2 linked regions of the Rhinolophus ferrumequinum genome follow. The protein of the gene in region 1 interacts with the protein of each later gene in a pairwise test. Links are inferred from orthologs where the notes say so. Each region holds a gene or a part of one and is shown on either strand. Other genes may lie near its edges.

What was found. The genes of interacting proteins can lie anywhere in the genome.
Region 2: the proteins of ZC3H10 (region 1) and NFYA interact in binary tests that used the Homo sapiens proteins (3 or more experiments, as listed by UniProt). The two-hybrid records come from large-scale screens. The link is inferred for Rhinolophus ferrumequinum from reciprocal best matches to the Homo sapiens genes ZC3H10 and NFYA.

The regions. Positions count from the first base shown.
Region 1 is NC_046293.1:55,478,401-55,486,154, reverse strand, and holds the start of ZC3H10 (zinc finger CCCH domain-containing protein 10), read right to left. Parts: upstream 3,069-7,754; 5' UTR 2,992-3,068; intron 2,235-2,991; 5' UTR 2,171-2,234; intron 742-2,170; 5' UTR 687-741; coding exon 1-686. Other genes in the region: PA2G4 (proliferation-associated protein 2G4), read right to left, coding at 7,277-7,342, 7,559-7,612. UniProt on the Homo sapiens protein: Specific regulator of miRNA biogenesis. Binds, via the C3H1-type zinc finger domains, to the binding motif 5'-GCAGCGC-3' on microRNA pri-MIR143 and negatively regulates the processing to mature microRNA.
Region 2 is NC_046286.1:10,792,006-10,799,349, reverse strand, and holds the start of NFYA (nuclear transcription factor Y subunit alpha), read right to left. Parts: upstream 3,002-7,344; 5' UTR 2,874-3,001; exon of another isoform or gene 2,606-2,873; intron 2,325-2,605; exon of another isoform or gene 2,178-2,324; intron 2,169-2,177; exon of another isoform or gene 1,802-2,168; intron 1-1,801. Other genes in the region: ADP-ribose glycohydrolase OARD1, read left to right, coding at 3,553-3,591, 3,922-4,066, 5,086-5,144, 6,111-6,223. UniProt on the Homo sapiens protein: Component of the sequence-specific heterotrimeric transcription factor (NF-Y) which specifically recognizes a 5'-CCAAT-3' box motif found in the promoters of its target genes.

The DNA.
Region 1 (7,754 bases):
CTATAGTCATACGATTCAAAATGGGGACCATCTGGGGGGCAGCAGCCACCTCGCCGGCGCTTGGGGCCTGGCTCATGGTCCTCAAAGCCCCTGTCAGGGAGGTCGTAGATATCATAGAGATCATGACGTCGTCCTGGGGGGACTGGGCCTGTTGAGCCCCCACCACCAGTGCTTCCTCCACCCCGAGCGTCAAACTCAAAATCCCGTTGCAGGTGACGGAACTTGCACTTGGCTCCTCTTTGGCAGTCACCCTTGAGAAAGTCCCGGCAGATAGGGACCTCCTCCTTGCCATTTGGTAGGTCAGCTGGAGAAAGGCCCAGGCCTGCTGCCACTTTCTGCCTCAACCGAGGGGGAAGCTCTCCTGTCTTCTTATAGCCGTCCTCATCCTCCTTGGAGCCATGGATGAATCGGCAGTTTGGGCGACTACACTCCTTGTTCTGGAAGTCATGGCAGAAGATGAACTCATTTTTGCTTACCCCCAAGTTGGACACCTCACTCATGTCTGGATGACGATAGCGGCAACGCTTGCCTCGCTTGCATACATTCCTCAGGAAGTCTCTACAGATGGCATCTGAGCTGGCCCCGCCACTGCCTGCCCCTGTCCCACTGGCCTCCTCGCTGCCACCGCTTCCAGGGCCTCCACCGCTGTTCCCAGTGCCGTTGGCATAGCTGTCCCGATCAGGCATCCTGGTCCCCCCCAATTCAGGGCTTTCTTCCTTTTCTTGCCACCCTTGGTGACCACTAGGAAAGAGGAGAACTGTGTCAAACAGGAGTCCTCCAGAGGCCACTCTTCCTAACTATAGAGTAGGCCGTCTGACGAGAGGCAGGACAGAGAGGCAATGGCTTTGGCGATGGAGAAGCTAAGGGATGAGAATTCTGCCTGGACTGGCTGACTTGTCAGAAGTCCCGCCCAGGCCTTTGTGCACCTGGTCTGGGTGGGAATGATTCACACTTGCTGGGCTAATGGAGAAGGGAGGGAGCTGGGGTGAAGCCACTTCGTCTCACTAATGATGACAGGCCAAGGAGGGGGCAGGGAGAGATAGTATTGGATTTTATTTCCCCTTTGAACTGACCTTATTAAAGTTGCGGAAGTGAAATTAAAACTGCTGTCGGCGTCTGACTAGGTTAGGAGAAGATTGGGAATCGTGGCCAAGGTGGGCTGGTGAGCTACTAGGGCTGTGGATAATGAGATACTGATGACAAAACTTCCCTTAACCCCTTTTCCGTGGGATTTCAGATGAGGGCTCTGTCACGTATCATATCTCTAGACCCAGGAAATCCTGAGTGAAGAGACTTGTGTCACCGGCTTGAGGTCAGTCCCTAAACTTGTCATTTTCTCAGTATTCTCTCCCAGCTCACCACCACCATCAACCCCAGTGTGGTCAGCCCCCACCACTCCATTTCAGGGGAAGAGTTCTACAGTGACAACATCTCCACTTATAGACTCCCAAGAACAAAACCATTTGTGACAAGGTCAAGGCAGGAGGAAGGAGTTAATTTCATAGGAACAAGTGACCTTACTTCGCCCATTCTATCCCCTCCTAACCCTCCATGGGAAGATACCACTGACATCTAACCACACCACTCCTCACCCCATAAAGATCCTCTTTATTTATAGACTCTATAAAAGCTTTTAAGTCTCATCTTTCCCAAGAGAGCTCTGGAATGTCAGTCCACTGCCCTGGTTCTAGCCCTCCCCTCACCCCACCCCCCACAGGACTGTGAGTCCCTGCGACCACGTGTCTGACCTCCTAAGCCTTTCCCAGGCAGTATTCAGGCTCCCCCTGCTGTTCAAATAGGAGAACTTCATATTGTTTCCCCTTGAGTATAAGGGAATCTTTCCAATTTCTCTGGCCTTCATCTCCCCCCAGCCATCGACCCCATTGCCTAGACTTTGCCTCTAGATCGCTCTAAAATGATCCAGAGGACAGAGTTACAAGAGAATCTGTAAAAGAAGAGGGGTCCTCCTCCTCCAAAGGGAGATAGTCCCAGAATAACAGAAACAATCCAGGAAGAGTAGTAAATGATACAAACTTTTACAAAAAGGGAAATGACCTGGTGAAAAATAAATGCCACTATCCAAGCCTAACCCACGTAGCAAGTCCCAGCAGACGCAGATTGTCAGATATGATACTCATCCCCACCCAACTCGCCCAGGATTGTTCAATACCTGAGGTAGCTCAGGTGAAGTCCGGGGCTCCTGTGGGTCTCCACCTCCACATCACTGCTGGGTTCTGAACAGGAAAAAAAAAAAGAGAGAGATTTGGACGGGAGAAAGGGTAAGAATGGAGAACTATAGGGTGTTGTTACAAGAAAGACTGACAAAATGGCAAGAGCTCTGGGCACATCAACATTTCCTCAGGGTTCCAACTGAACTTCACCGGTCAAAGGGAGAAGTTGCCAGAACGAATTTGGAGAGCCTAGGAGGACGGGTTGGAAAACCAGCTCTGAGCGAACAAAGGTGAGGGGAGCCCTGCCTCAAGTTGGAGGAGGATGTGGGGGTCAGAGCTTGGCCTAGGGCTGGAGTTAGGAACTCTGAACAGGGAGCAATGCAAGGACAGCGACTGGCAGTGCAGTGAGATGACAGATTAGACTTGGAGGCGGTGATTATGAAGCTTCGCAACACCCCAGAGTTTGTGAAAAAAGTCCTAGGAGTTTCCCACAGCAAATCTAGCTTGGCAGGTTCTGTACAGTGCCACAGAGCTCAACCATGGGACAGGTGAATAGGACATTAAGGGAGTACGAAGTGAAGCAGGGAGAGGGACTCCAGATGACATCAAGCTGAGGGGATGGGCAGGGCTGTGACGTCACGGAGCAGGCGTTTGCTCGGGAAGCGGGGTCAGTCAGAAAAAGGGCTCGGCCCTGGGGCATGAGGAACAACCAGCTCGGTCCTGGGGGGCCTTGTGTAGCCCGGCAGAGCCCAGCCGCTGGGCCGGCCCCGACTCCTCCCCTCCGGGCGCGGCCTCCACCTAAGTCTCCCGCCTCCCTCACCTGCCGCCGCCGCCGTAGTTGCTGCTGCCGCCTGCCGGTCCTCTAGCTTCGACAAAGAGCTGCCCACTCTATCGCCCTTCCGCTTCCTGCGGAAGAAACGACACTCTAGCCACCAGACCCGGAACTATACTCTATGGTGTACGAAATACTGGCGCGACAAGCCGCAGGAAGTCCCAGCAAGCTTTGCGTGTCACCATGGCAACCCAACCCAACAGCACAGTAAAGGACCCAGAAAGTATAATTTAACGTAGGCCTAAACACGGGAGTAGGGGCGGAACCACGGTTTGCCCATAACCGTCTCGACATCTGTCCCCAGACGTCCATTACACCCTTTTCAGGATGATCTACCCATACTTTTTAATTAACTCCCGAGGGCCAGGGACCAGATGTTGGCTAGGGGTGTAATCAACGCCCCTTCCCGCCCCCAATGTAGCCTAATGCAAGGGCCGACTGTACTGATACAAGTCCACCAGCCAATGGAACCATAAAAACCACAAAACACAAGACTTTGTTTCTTCAGCTAAGACAGCAGATGATTTATTGTACACATTACATTCAGCCACAACTGAGAACAGAACTTGTCCAGAATGTCACAGGTCCAGAGCAAAGGACTCTTTTGTACGAGCCAAGTGGGTTTCTCAAAAGGTGGTAGCGGGGAACAGATGGCAATGTATGTTCTAGATCCATTGAGAAGTCCTAGATATTAGGCATGCAGTCCAACAATTTGTTGCAGTATCCCTGGCCTCTGGCTTTCCTCATTTCTGCTCCTGTGGCTTCCACCGGTGTACAAGCTAGCGGTTTACTTGGACCTCTGCCTCATCTTTCTTCTTTTGCGCTTCAGCCTGAAAAGCAGACACGGGAGTACACTTCCTGCCCATAAACCCGAGGTTCACTCTTTCCCTCCCATCTTAAACGTACATACGATACGCAGGGTGATAAAACGATCATGCACTCCATTCTACTGTCTTGTGTCCAATCCCTGGCTCTGACAAGTCAATTCTCAAAACATTTTCCACCTAAGTTCACCAAATGTTCCTCCCAAGCTTTGACCCAAGGCACGCTCCACTTCCCTCCTCCCGTGCCAGCAGTCTCAACATACCTGCGCATTCGCTTCTTCCTCCACTGGCAACCGATCATAACCAGAGACAAGGAATAAAACAAAAGGTCATTAGTTTTAGAATCAGGATTAGGTAGGGATGTGAAGAGCGTTATTTAGAACCAGGCAAGTTCTTGACCAAACATGAGGGCTCAGTCTCAGTAATTACATCAACAATTTGGCCTCCCAACCCAACACCCCAAAGTAAACACCGAATCCCGCGTGCGCTCCTCCACTCCCCACTCTCCACACAACACTTACCCAACCAGCTCCGCTTCTCCCCAAACTATCCTTCATCTCCCACTAGGTCTTGGCACCCTTGAGAACCCATCGGTTCAGGGAATCATGGCGGACTTCCCGTGCCTGGGTCTCCACCCCCAGCCATCAATTACTGCAGCCTCAGCTCACTACCAGGAACTGCTTACCTTGGCTCTCATGGCGCGGAGGTATCTACGGGTAAAGAGAAAAAGGCCACAGTTAGTTTGCCGTAACGATGGCAAGGGCAGAGACGAGATGTTAATGGATTGTACCCGAAGTCCGCACACAGGCCGCACACTCACCCAAGAAGATGACGCTAAGGCCGAGAGAGCGCTAAGCGCCCGCCTACCGCCATTTAAGGGAGCACTCAGTGTCGTCACTTCCTTTGCCTCGCCCTACCCACCCCGGGGGCGGGGCTGCCCAAGGGGAGTAACAATGGCTTCCGGCCCTTCTCAGGTGCATAAGTGATTTAATTCCTTTGGAAAGCAGTATTTTTGAGTTACAAAATTCCCCCTTCCGTTTTATTATGAGGACATTGTATTATTTAAACGTGAGCACCTATTTCCAATATGGGACCTAGAGGTGCAGACGAGCAAAACACAGCGATTTCCGTCTTCCCTCTCATTGCTTCATGGGAGTTGCAGTTTCCTTGGCGACACCCTCCATTTTATTATGGATGGGTGCAGACTGTACAAAAATGTTTTACTGGTTTGCCTTATTTTCCAAACTAAATTGCTGCAGGGAGAGTCGATCGCGGAACCTCCGAATGTCCTAAGGTTCCAGAACACGGAAGAATGTAAAGTTGGGGAGTTAAGTAAGCTGTCATACTACAAAAAAAACCCCAAACTGTCAGTATTGTAAACTTTCCAACTATGCTCTCCCCCCACAATACCTGAAGCAGAATGTCACAATGTATGTTGGTCACAATGTATCTTGTTCAAAAGATACTTCAGTGATCCTCCCTACCTGGTGGTAAGGATCAAGCCAATGGAGAGGGGAAGATCAGATCTTCTCTAGGGCAAGGGTGGTATGTGGTATTAAGATAAATAACTTCCCAGTCTCAGGGTACAGACATGTCAGAAGCCCTTGGTAAATAAAATACCCAAAGATTTGGCTACAGTGAACGAATTCTGAAGAATGGAGAAGAATCCTTAACCACTGACTTCACCTTATTCACTTTGATACTTTATAGTTTTTATAATCCCTCCTGTGTGGTGGTTTCCCTTTATAATTTATTCAATAACATGTCACCATTTAACTATTAAAGTAAGGTTTTTAAAAAGTTGGGGCCCTTGTTCCAAGTGCTTAAGAAGTTCTAGTATTTTCACCATCAGAATATAACAAGTTTTTGAAGACAAAAATAAAAACCCTAGCACAATTATTTTATGTTGTCCCCCAGGATTTCACCTGTTGATTGTCCACTCGTCTATAAGCTCTTATGAAGAGTCGTGTTTTGTTTCACTGTAGTATCTACAGATCTGCATGCCTCACGTGTAAGATTGAATAAATCTCAAATCTAATAAATTATTCATCTCAGGCTGGCCCTGAAAAATTGCATAATACTCAAGGAATTCTTCCTGGCTTTCTAAGTCAAGATAAACATTTGTATAGTATTTTTCGCAGTATACATAAATGTACTAATCCTGAACAAATTATCAGAAGCAAGGTTGATGTTTTCACTTTAGAAAATTTAATCATACTCACATAGAAAATTTACTATTTTAATCCAGAGAATCCAGGATTTATGTTTTTTGGGTTGGGAAGTATTCCTTGTTTTAAAAGTAGAATATATCAACAGAAAAACCGCTCCAAGTGATCATCAATCACTTCAACAGACACTCCCCAGCACTTCCAGCAAATAAGAGTAGCAAAGGCACACGAGTATGAGCAAATCCAAATTTATTTTAACACCATGTCATTTTCAACGTGTTTAAAAACCTCATAAGTTAGTGGGAGCTCTAGTTCCCTGGGACAGCATGCCAGAGGTACTGAAATTCGTCACCTTTCTCTCCAATCCCCTAGCGATTCATCCAATTCAAGTCCATAGCTTCAGAAAGCCAGGAGTTGTCTCTCCAGTCTGCTCCTCTGGTTCCTGGTCTTTCTTTCAAGGAAGGGAGGTCAAAATATTTCAAACAGGAACAAAACCACAGTTGAGGTTCCAGCTCAGGTTTGTAAGATGGAGCAAAGGAAGACCCCACTGACTCCAAAGAATTGGACAGGTTGAAATGGACTCCTCCTTTACAGCTTTGTGGGGGAAAGGGGGAAGAGTCCTGCAGAACAAAAATGACTAAAAAGATTTACAAATGAGGATCCATTTCATAGATGAGAATCCCTTGATAAGTGCAGGCTCCAGCTCCTAAAAATGGGAGGGGCCTGACCAGATAGCCTGGATCAGAAAAGGAATCTGCCACATGTGAATAAAAACAATCTGAAGAACAGTTTCTATTTTGAGGCCAGGTAACATACTTGGGGAGAGCAGTAAAAGAGAGGAACAAGCCCCAACAGATGGAAAAATGCTGACCTCGGAGTGTATAAAAAAATTTCAGCTGAATTTTTAGTGGTAGTGGCTACTTTAGCCTCCTCCCTGTTCTATTGTAGGGCCATAAACCTTGACCAAGCAGAGAGTGGTAGAAAAAGGCTAGAAAGAGGGGCTTGAAGACGATGAATTTTGACTCCTGATTTTATTATTCAATTTCTCTTTTCAATTTAAAGTAGTCTTCGGTGGCTGGGAAGCCTGGCCTCCCAAGACCAGAGTCAGTTGGAGCTGGTTGTTGTTGGAAGGGGGTTGGGTTGCGGGGCCGGGAGGGGGGCAGGGAGACCCCTGCTCTGCTGGTGGTCCTGGGTGGAGAAGACAACTGCACTTCACAGAGCCCGGGGTGTGGTGGGAAGGGGATGAGGCAGGAGCAGCAAGCTGGGGAGATGGGACCCACCTCAGTCCCCAGCTTCATTCTCTTCTAATGTTTCCCCACTGGTGGCATTCTCTGCAGTCTTGGAAGCCTATATTCGTGTAAAGAAGACTTGTCAGTTTCCAACACCTCGGGGTAGTGTCTGGGGGACCAAGGACAAAAATCCTAATTCTCTAGGTCAGGGCTGAGAAGGGGGAAAATAAGGATAAATAAGGATATACAGAAATCTACGCCCTACCACAACCCAGGAAAGTGGAAGAAAGAGGGATCCGGTTCACCCTGCCAAAGAGGGATGATCATAACATACCTTCTTTTTTTTCTTTTTCTGGGTTTTCCGACTTGCAGAACTCTGGAGGAGGGCCTGGAATATAGGAGGAAGAAGGAAAACAAATTTTGAGGAATGTAGAGGAAACAATCTTACTCTCAATATTGTAGCTCTTTTTAGAACTTTGCTGATATTTAGTTCTCACTTCCAGGACAGGTACCACGTGCTCACGACGTTC
Region 2 (7,344 bases), on another chromosome or scaffold:
CAAGACTAAAAAGCCCCATTTGTCAAGTGAAAGAGGCCAGACTACTGTCTCTCAAAATTCCAGGCAAAGAAGTTCCTCTGCAGACAGGTGGAGGCTCTACAGATGGTCCGCAAAAAAGTAAACAGACTGTAACTGCCTTTTAGAACATCTAGCAAAAGTGGTTGTTTTCAAGTCACCAGATACATACGTGTTTTGAAAAATATCTAAGACAAATTGCCTCTTGTTTTAACGTGGATAATAATTAACTGAATTTTTAAAAAATGATTTAAACAATGAAAAATTCGCCCTAAAAAGTGAAAACAAAAACGGTCTCCCAAGTTTTAACAGTAAAAGAGCACTGGACTAGGAGTTTTCTGAAACCTAGTAGTTGTATGAGCTTAGTAGATGTGATTATAAAAACCAGCACCGCATACCTTAATCTATGTGCTAGGGATTGCACTAGGCACTTCACATAAATACAAACTGTTAACGTCTGAGGGAAGAAAATTCCCTTTGTTCCCCAAAAGAAGCCAGCCACTGTTATGGGACAGAATCCCACAAGTCCGAAGTTTGTTTTTCCAATCTTACAAAATATTCCTCCCTAAGATAGACAAGTGCTTTTACCAGCTGGCCTAAACCGTCCCCACTGCTGCCCACTGCCCTTTCCCGTCTACCCTCTGAGCACACGGCACAATGTGGTGCCTCACCCCAGGCTCTTCTCTCTGTGAGCAAGGCTCCTGTATTCTGTCCCATTAGAAGAAACCCCATCCTTCTTGGAGGCCCATCAGAAGTGTGGCTGTGTTAAGCCTTCCACCGAGGCTACTGGTAGCTCACACACCAGTACTGTACTTTGCAGAACTGAACTTGGTCCCGTTATTCCACTAACCGTTAGGTATTAGTTGTTCACCTGTCAATCTCCACCAGCAGGGAAGGTGCTCGTTTACCTTTACCCACTCCCACCCCAGCACAGAGACGTACGTCTGTTCCACACTAACTGCTCCAGATTTGCCTGTCAACAGGTATTTCTCCTAATCCTAATGAAAACCCCACGACATCTGTTGAGAACATGTCAACATGGAATTAGAAAGGATGTTATAAAAAAATAAACCAAGAGACAGCTGTGGACTGAGCTAACTGCGTCAAGCCGGACACGTTCAAAGTGACACAGAAAGGTGAAAGAAAAATGAATTGTACATCCTCGGGGGAAGGAGCGTTCGCACGATGAGCGACGGATGAGTAACCAAATCGTAAGCAAGCTGTGCAGCCTCCGGGAAAAGGAACGCACAGGGCCAGCAGTTTTCTCCAAGTGAGGTTCCAGGCAGCGAACGGACGGGCCTTGGCGCCCGGGGGAGAAAGGGAGACGGTCTGGTTGGGCTCCAAGACTGAGGTGTGCGGGTCGGGCCTGGCAAGCGGGGCGGGGATTAGAGGAAATGACGAGCCAAAAAGGGGGTGGCAACGGCGCCGGGCCGCAGACCCGGGCCGAGCGTGCTGGGAGGGACGCAGCGGGTAGGGGGAGTGGGCAGACGGCCTCCCCGCCATCCGGTCCGCGGAGACGGCGGGGGCGGGCGGGCGGGCCGGCCCCCTCTCCCCGCCGCACTCGGGCCCTGTGGGTCATGGCACGTGTCTTGCCCAGTCTTCCCTGCGGACCCAGGAGGGCGACAGACAGACCCAGCTCACGGAGGGCTGGGGTACGCGGGCCCCGCGGGGGGAGGTGTCCCGTCCCGAGCGCCGGAGCGGGAAGAGAGCAAGGGCGGGCTTAAGTGTGAGGTCGGAACCACCAGGAGAAAACCGCCGAGGCAGCGAGGCGTGCGCGTGTGTGTACCTGAGCGTAGGGGCATTCGTGGCAGGCAAGCCCGCCACTCCCGAGCCTGGGGCCTGAGAACCGGGGCCTAAGAGTTGGGGGAACCGGGACGCATCCCCAACTGGCTCCGGCACCCTGCAAGTGTTTGGACCCCGAGGTGCCTGCCCCCGGGGGCGCCATCTCCGTGCGGGGCGGCCCCCTGCAGGCCTCGGCCGGGAGTGCCCCGCGGCGCTCGCAGGCTCCCAGCCGGGGGCCCCAGCCACCCCATTCGGCTAGGCTCAGCTCGACTCCCCAGGCTCGACGGGCGCCTGGGCCTCTCCTGAGTGGTCAGCGAGACCCGCCAATCGGGGCGCTGGGGCCGGCTCTGGGCCGCTGGATATTGGCTCCTCACACTCACCGTGCCTCGCTCCCCCGGTTCGCTGCCCGCGCTGATTGGCTCCAGTACCGGACTCCGAAACCCAATCAGAGGCTCCAGCCGCCGCTGCCGCCGCCACTGCCGCTGCCTCGCAAAATGGCGAACCCGAACAAAGGGGAATCGGGCCTCCCTCCAACCGCCTCCGCGCAGGCGCCTCTGAGGCCACGCCCCCTAACCCCCCGCTCGGGGCTCGCCCCACCCCCGTTGAAAGAGCACTGCGCAGGCGTCCCCTTAAACCACGCCCACTTTCCTAATTAGGTACCACTACCGACCGGAGGAATACGCAGGCGCCCTGGGCACGCCCCAAACCGTGCGACTCCAAACACCGTTCTGAACGCAATACTACGCAGGCGCTAACTAGCTTCTTTGCCAACCTCCAACCCCTTTCTATGCGGCCACTGGAGACACACCTCTGGGGCTAATGCGCAAGCGCCGTTTTTCCCCCGCTCGAGGTCGGCTGTCTCGTTACGCATGCCCGGGTGGCGGCAGGAGACTCCGCAGAATTCACCGCCGGAAGTTCGGCGGCCATAACCAAAGAGTGCAGTTTCGGCTAGCTAGCTAGAGGGGCTCGTTTCCGCATCGCTCCCGGGTAGTGGGCGGCCATCTTAGGTGCGTGCAATTAAAGGGCTGTGGCGGGATTGGCTCCGCGTCTGGACTTGTCTGCTGTTTCCCACCTACCAGGGCCGGATCTGGAGCCCTTTCCCGTGGGGCGGGACCTCGTAACGCCGACTCCAGGTGAAGGGTAACTGGTACGTTGGGGCGTTGAGCGAGCCTTCCCGCTCCTTCCCCCGGGACTCCGGGACAGGCTCTGCACCTCGCTGACCCGCCGTAGGGTAGGAAACAGAGAATGGGAGGCTTCTCTAGACTTCTTGCCCTACCCCCCAAAAGGGGAGGAAGCCTTTCTTGAGAGGCCACCTTTCCTCTCCTCTTGCCTACGGCCGGGCAGTACACTCCCCCTGGTCCGTACACTCCCTAGTTGCGGCCCCAAGCCCCTCCCTTTTTCTTGTAGGCCAAACCTACTGAGTTTAAGGAGCCCGTCCTAAATCCGCCCGCCTCGGGCGCGGGCCAAGGAGGAGGCGTGTCGTGGGGCCGCCTTTTCTTCGCTGGCGGAGCGGGGCGCTCCAGGAAAGCGCGAAATACTAGCGGGCCTGGCTGCCTGCGAACCTAGGCAGGCTGCCTCGCCCCAGAGCACTTCTGTGTTCCTTCCAGAGGCTGAACGAACTCACTTTCAGTTGGGGCAACAAGGGGGTGGTCGGGGCGATCTGGCTATAATATATTCAGGCTGCCTAAGCATTTGTCCTTTTCCCTTCTCGTAGCTGAAGAAACATTTTAATTCTGGAGATACCGACTCAGTATCATGGCCGGCAGCCCTAATGAAGATCCAGAAGGAAGCAGAGTGGGTAACAACTGTTAACTTAGTGGTGAACTGAAATTCAGAATAATTGAGGTTACAAGCATAAACACTTTTTAATTAAACCAATAATTGAATTGTCTTTTTCCCCCCCTCTAGCTGGTTTACTTCAGAAAGGCTAATACAACTTAGGCAGAGACCGTCTGTCACTTTTCTTTACACAAGCTTTAATTCATTGTGGTTAACCCCTTAAATTCTGAGGATTTGGCTTTCAATGAGGGGTGGGGCGGAGGACACAGTAAAGGAAAGTGAAAGTAATAGTGTAGTATTTTTCAGTATCTAATAAAACATTTTCTTTCCCTTTGCCCGTTTCAGATCACTTATGTGAAAGGAGACCTTTTTGCATGCCCCAAAACAGACTCTCTAGCCCACTGTATCAGTGAGGATTGTCGAATGGGGGCTGGGATAGCTGTACTCTTCAAGAAGAAATTTGGAGGGGTGCAGGAACTGTTAAACCAACGTGAGTTTTGAAAACAGTTTAACTTGCCCTCACTAGAGCCTCTTTTGACTGTGTTATATTAATACTTTAATTATTAAACAAGATACATATGCAAAGAGCGAGTTCATAACCACGGAGTACTTTTAACTCATCAGATTCAGCTTTTCCTCCACAAAACTGGTCTCTAGTTTGGGTCCTTATCACACCTAACCTGAATTCTTGTAAAAGTCGCTGATCTCTTCCTCCTCTGTCATAAAACTGAATAATACTCCACTTCTCGGAAACCCTTAATAACACTGGAGTGCGTAGCAAAGTCCACAGGCATTAGCTTGGCATTCAGAATCCTCTGTTCACGGATATCGCATTCAGGAGTTTAGAATCCTCCGCTTCCTTATAGACCCCCCCATCACTTTCTACCAATGATTTTAAATCAGAGATGTGTATCAGAATCATGTGGAGTTTCTGGAACAGTTGCTCAGACCACAGTCCAGGCTTAATCAGGGTCTCCACTGGCAATTCTGATGCCAGCCTTTAAAAGAGCAATTTCTTATTGCTTTGTATTGTTATTTGTAAACATGACACCTTTTCTTGATTGAAAACTCATAATAATTAGGAACCTTTTTATACACCTGTGGTCTCTGTAACGCTTAAACGTTAGCTCTTTGTATGTAAAAAGATCATTATTGAATGAACACACAGTTGGCAAATGAAAAATGCTGTACATTCTAAAATATTTCAAGGCAAAAAAACTACACATTAAAGTTTTTTAAGTGAACAAATAAGGGTGTATTTGAAAATAAGGGCAGGACAAAAGATAGGGGGTGAGGAAAACATTGAGAAAACATAATTAAAGAAGGTAGAAGTTAAGAAAATGCAGTATTTAGGAATGCTGATAAGAAGCAAAGTGTTCATAGGAGACAATAGATTTCTTTAGATTATTTCCAGTTCTGAGGTTAACTCAGATCTGTAAAGATTTCTTAAAATCTAAGAATGGAGATAAGTGTTTTGATTTTCCTTTCTATGAAATAACTTTCTCTTAGAAAAGAAATCTGGAGAAGTGGCTGTTCTGAAGAGAGATGGGCGATATATATATTACTTGGTAAGATAACTCTCCGAGTTGTAAGGGTTGGTGACCCGGGGAGCTGTGCGGAATTTGTGTTGATCATTCTAGACGGGCAAAGACATCAAAAAGCCTCTGATCTCATGCCAGCTCAGATCCAGTGGTGGTGGTGATTTGGAGCTGTGGGTTAGAAAGGAACATGAAGCTGCATCCTAGTTCCATGGGAAAGAGTATTGTGACATCAACCAAAGGTCTGTGTTCTAAGATTTGCAAAAAGTTAGGGATAACTAGTCATAGTGAGACAGAAACGAGACATTGCTCAAAGGAGTTTTTCCTCTCATTCTTCCCTATCAAATGCGCTTAACTCCTTTCCTTCCTCTGCCTCAGTGTGAGATTCTTCCACTGTCCAAATGGTTTTCGGCCCCAGAAAGAGTGTGGCTTCTTGGTGATGGTGCTGGGTGAGTTATAGGCAACCCACTAGAAGCTTGTTTTGGACAGCACACTGAGTGGGTTCATGAATGCTATCTTTAAGGCTGATGTTATTCCCAGTATTATTTGGGACGCTACCAGTTTCTCTGTTCTTTTATAGAAAAACAAAAAGCAAGCAAGCATGGTTTCTAAATAAATAGACGGAACAGGAAATTTTCAGGTAGTATTCGGTTCTTCCTTTAACTAGAGATTTGCAGTTTATCTCTTGGAAGTGGCACAAAGACTTTCACCTACCTTGCTGAAAAACAATAGACAGTAGGCACAGCCTGTTAACCTCCTGGGCGTCTTGAGAAAAGGAAAGATTATTATGTGGCAATGTCTGGGTTTCTTAGGCCCTATGTAGTGGATTTTCCTGAGGACCTCCCATCACTGAACGGGACACTATTTTTCATCCTTGCTCTAGACTATTCTATAAAAATGCAGTCATCATTTTATCAGGATGTTGGGAGAATGTGATGGCTTTCTTTTGCTATCAATTTAGACTAATAGAAGTTTGAATTCTTTCTTTGTACTCAGATTACAAAGAAAAGGGCTTCACACAAGCCAACTTACGAAAATTTACAGAAGAGTTTAGAGGCCATGAAGTCCCATTGTCTGAAGAATGGAGTCACCGACCTCTCCATGCCCAGGCAAGGAAATCCAAGGCTCTAAGTGAAGATTTACTTGATTGGTGGAGGTTACTGTCTTATCCAAAAACAAATGGCTTAAAAGCTTAATCCAAAATATGGACTTAAAGGTGGACAATTTCAAAACTTTAAAAAATCGCCAGTGAATCAGTTGTCAGACCTTAGGCTAAGGCCTACCCATTTATTAGTATAGGTTGAAAGAATCAGGGCAATGAACTTAAAACACACACCTGCCTCAGCCTATGTAGTAGGGAAGAACCATTGTTCAATCACATTTAAATTGTAAACGATCACTGCCTTTTAAACTGCATACTTGTTTGTGGTCACCATGGGCAGTTAGCCAGAGGCCAGGTCACATCAGCTGGGTCCTGGATGTGACGTCTTAGACCCTACCTATTGGGAACTTAAGGAGTGACATTGAGGGTTCAGTATCCCCTTTACCTCCTTTTCAGGCAATAGGCTTGGGCTCACTTCTCTTGTCAGTCTAATTTTAAGTTAGGGCTGACCGTGCATGCAGGTTTATTCCAAGGTCCAAGGCTACAGGGTCCCTCATCTTACACTGGTCTTTACTGTATTTATGGATTATGAATCAGAAACTTTTTTTAATCACAATTTTTTTCAGGGACTTAATCATCACGTATGAAATTAGCAAATTTTTTTAATTTTAATTTTTTTTATTTTATTGGGGAACAGTGTGTTGCTCCAGGGCCCATTAACTCCAAGTCGTTGTCCTTCAATCTACTTGTAGAGGGCACAGCTCAGCCATGTCCAGCTGCTGTTTTCAATCTTAGTTGCAGGGGGCCCAGCCTACCATCTCATGTGGGAATTGAACCAGCAACCCTGTTGTTGAGAGCTCGCACTCTAACCAACTGAGCCATCTGGCTGCCCCTGATATTAGCCATTTTAAGCCCCCATTTTTCCCGCTAGGAATGTTGAAGATCGATAAAGTAACATCTTAGAAGAACGGTGCTAGGTAGTAGTTTTGTGGGCTGATCGAGGTTTCTTACCAGGGTGTTCCAAAGACTAAAATTGCAATCAGGTTGGCATTTTTCAACATTGCATCTCGTCTTCTTTTTGCAGAGATCCTGTCCTTTGTCTTCTTTTTATCTTCTTTAACTTTCCGT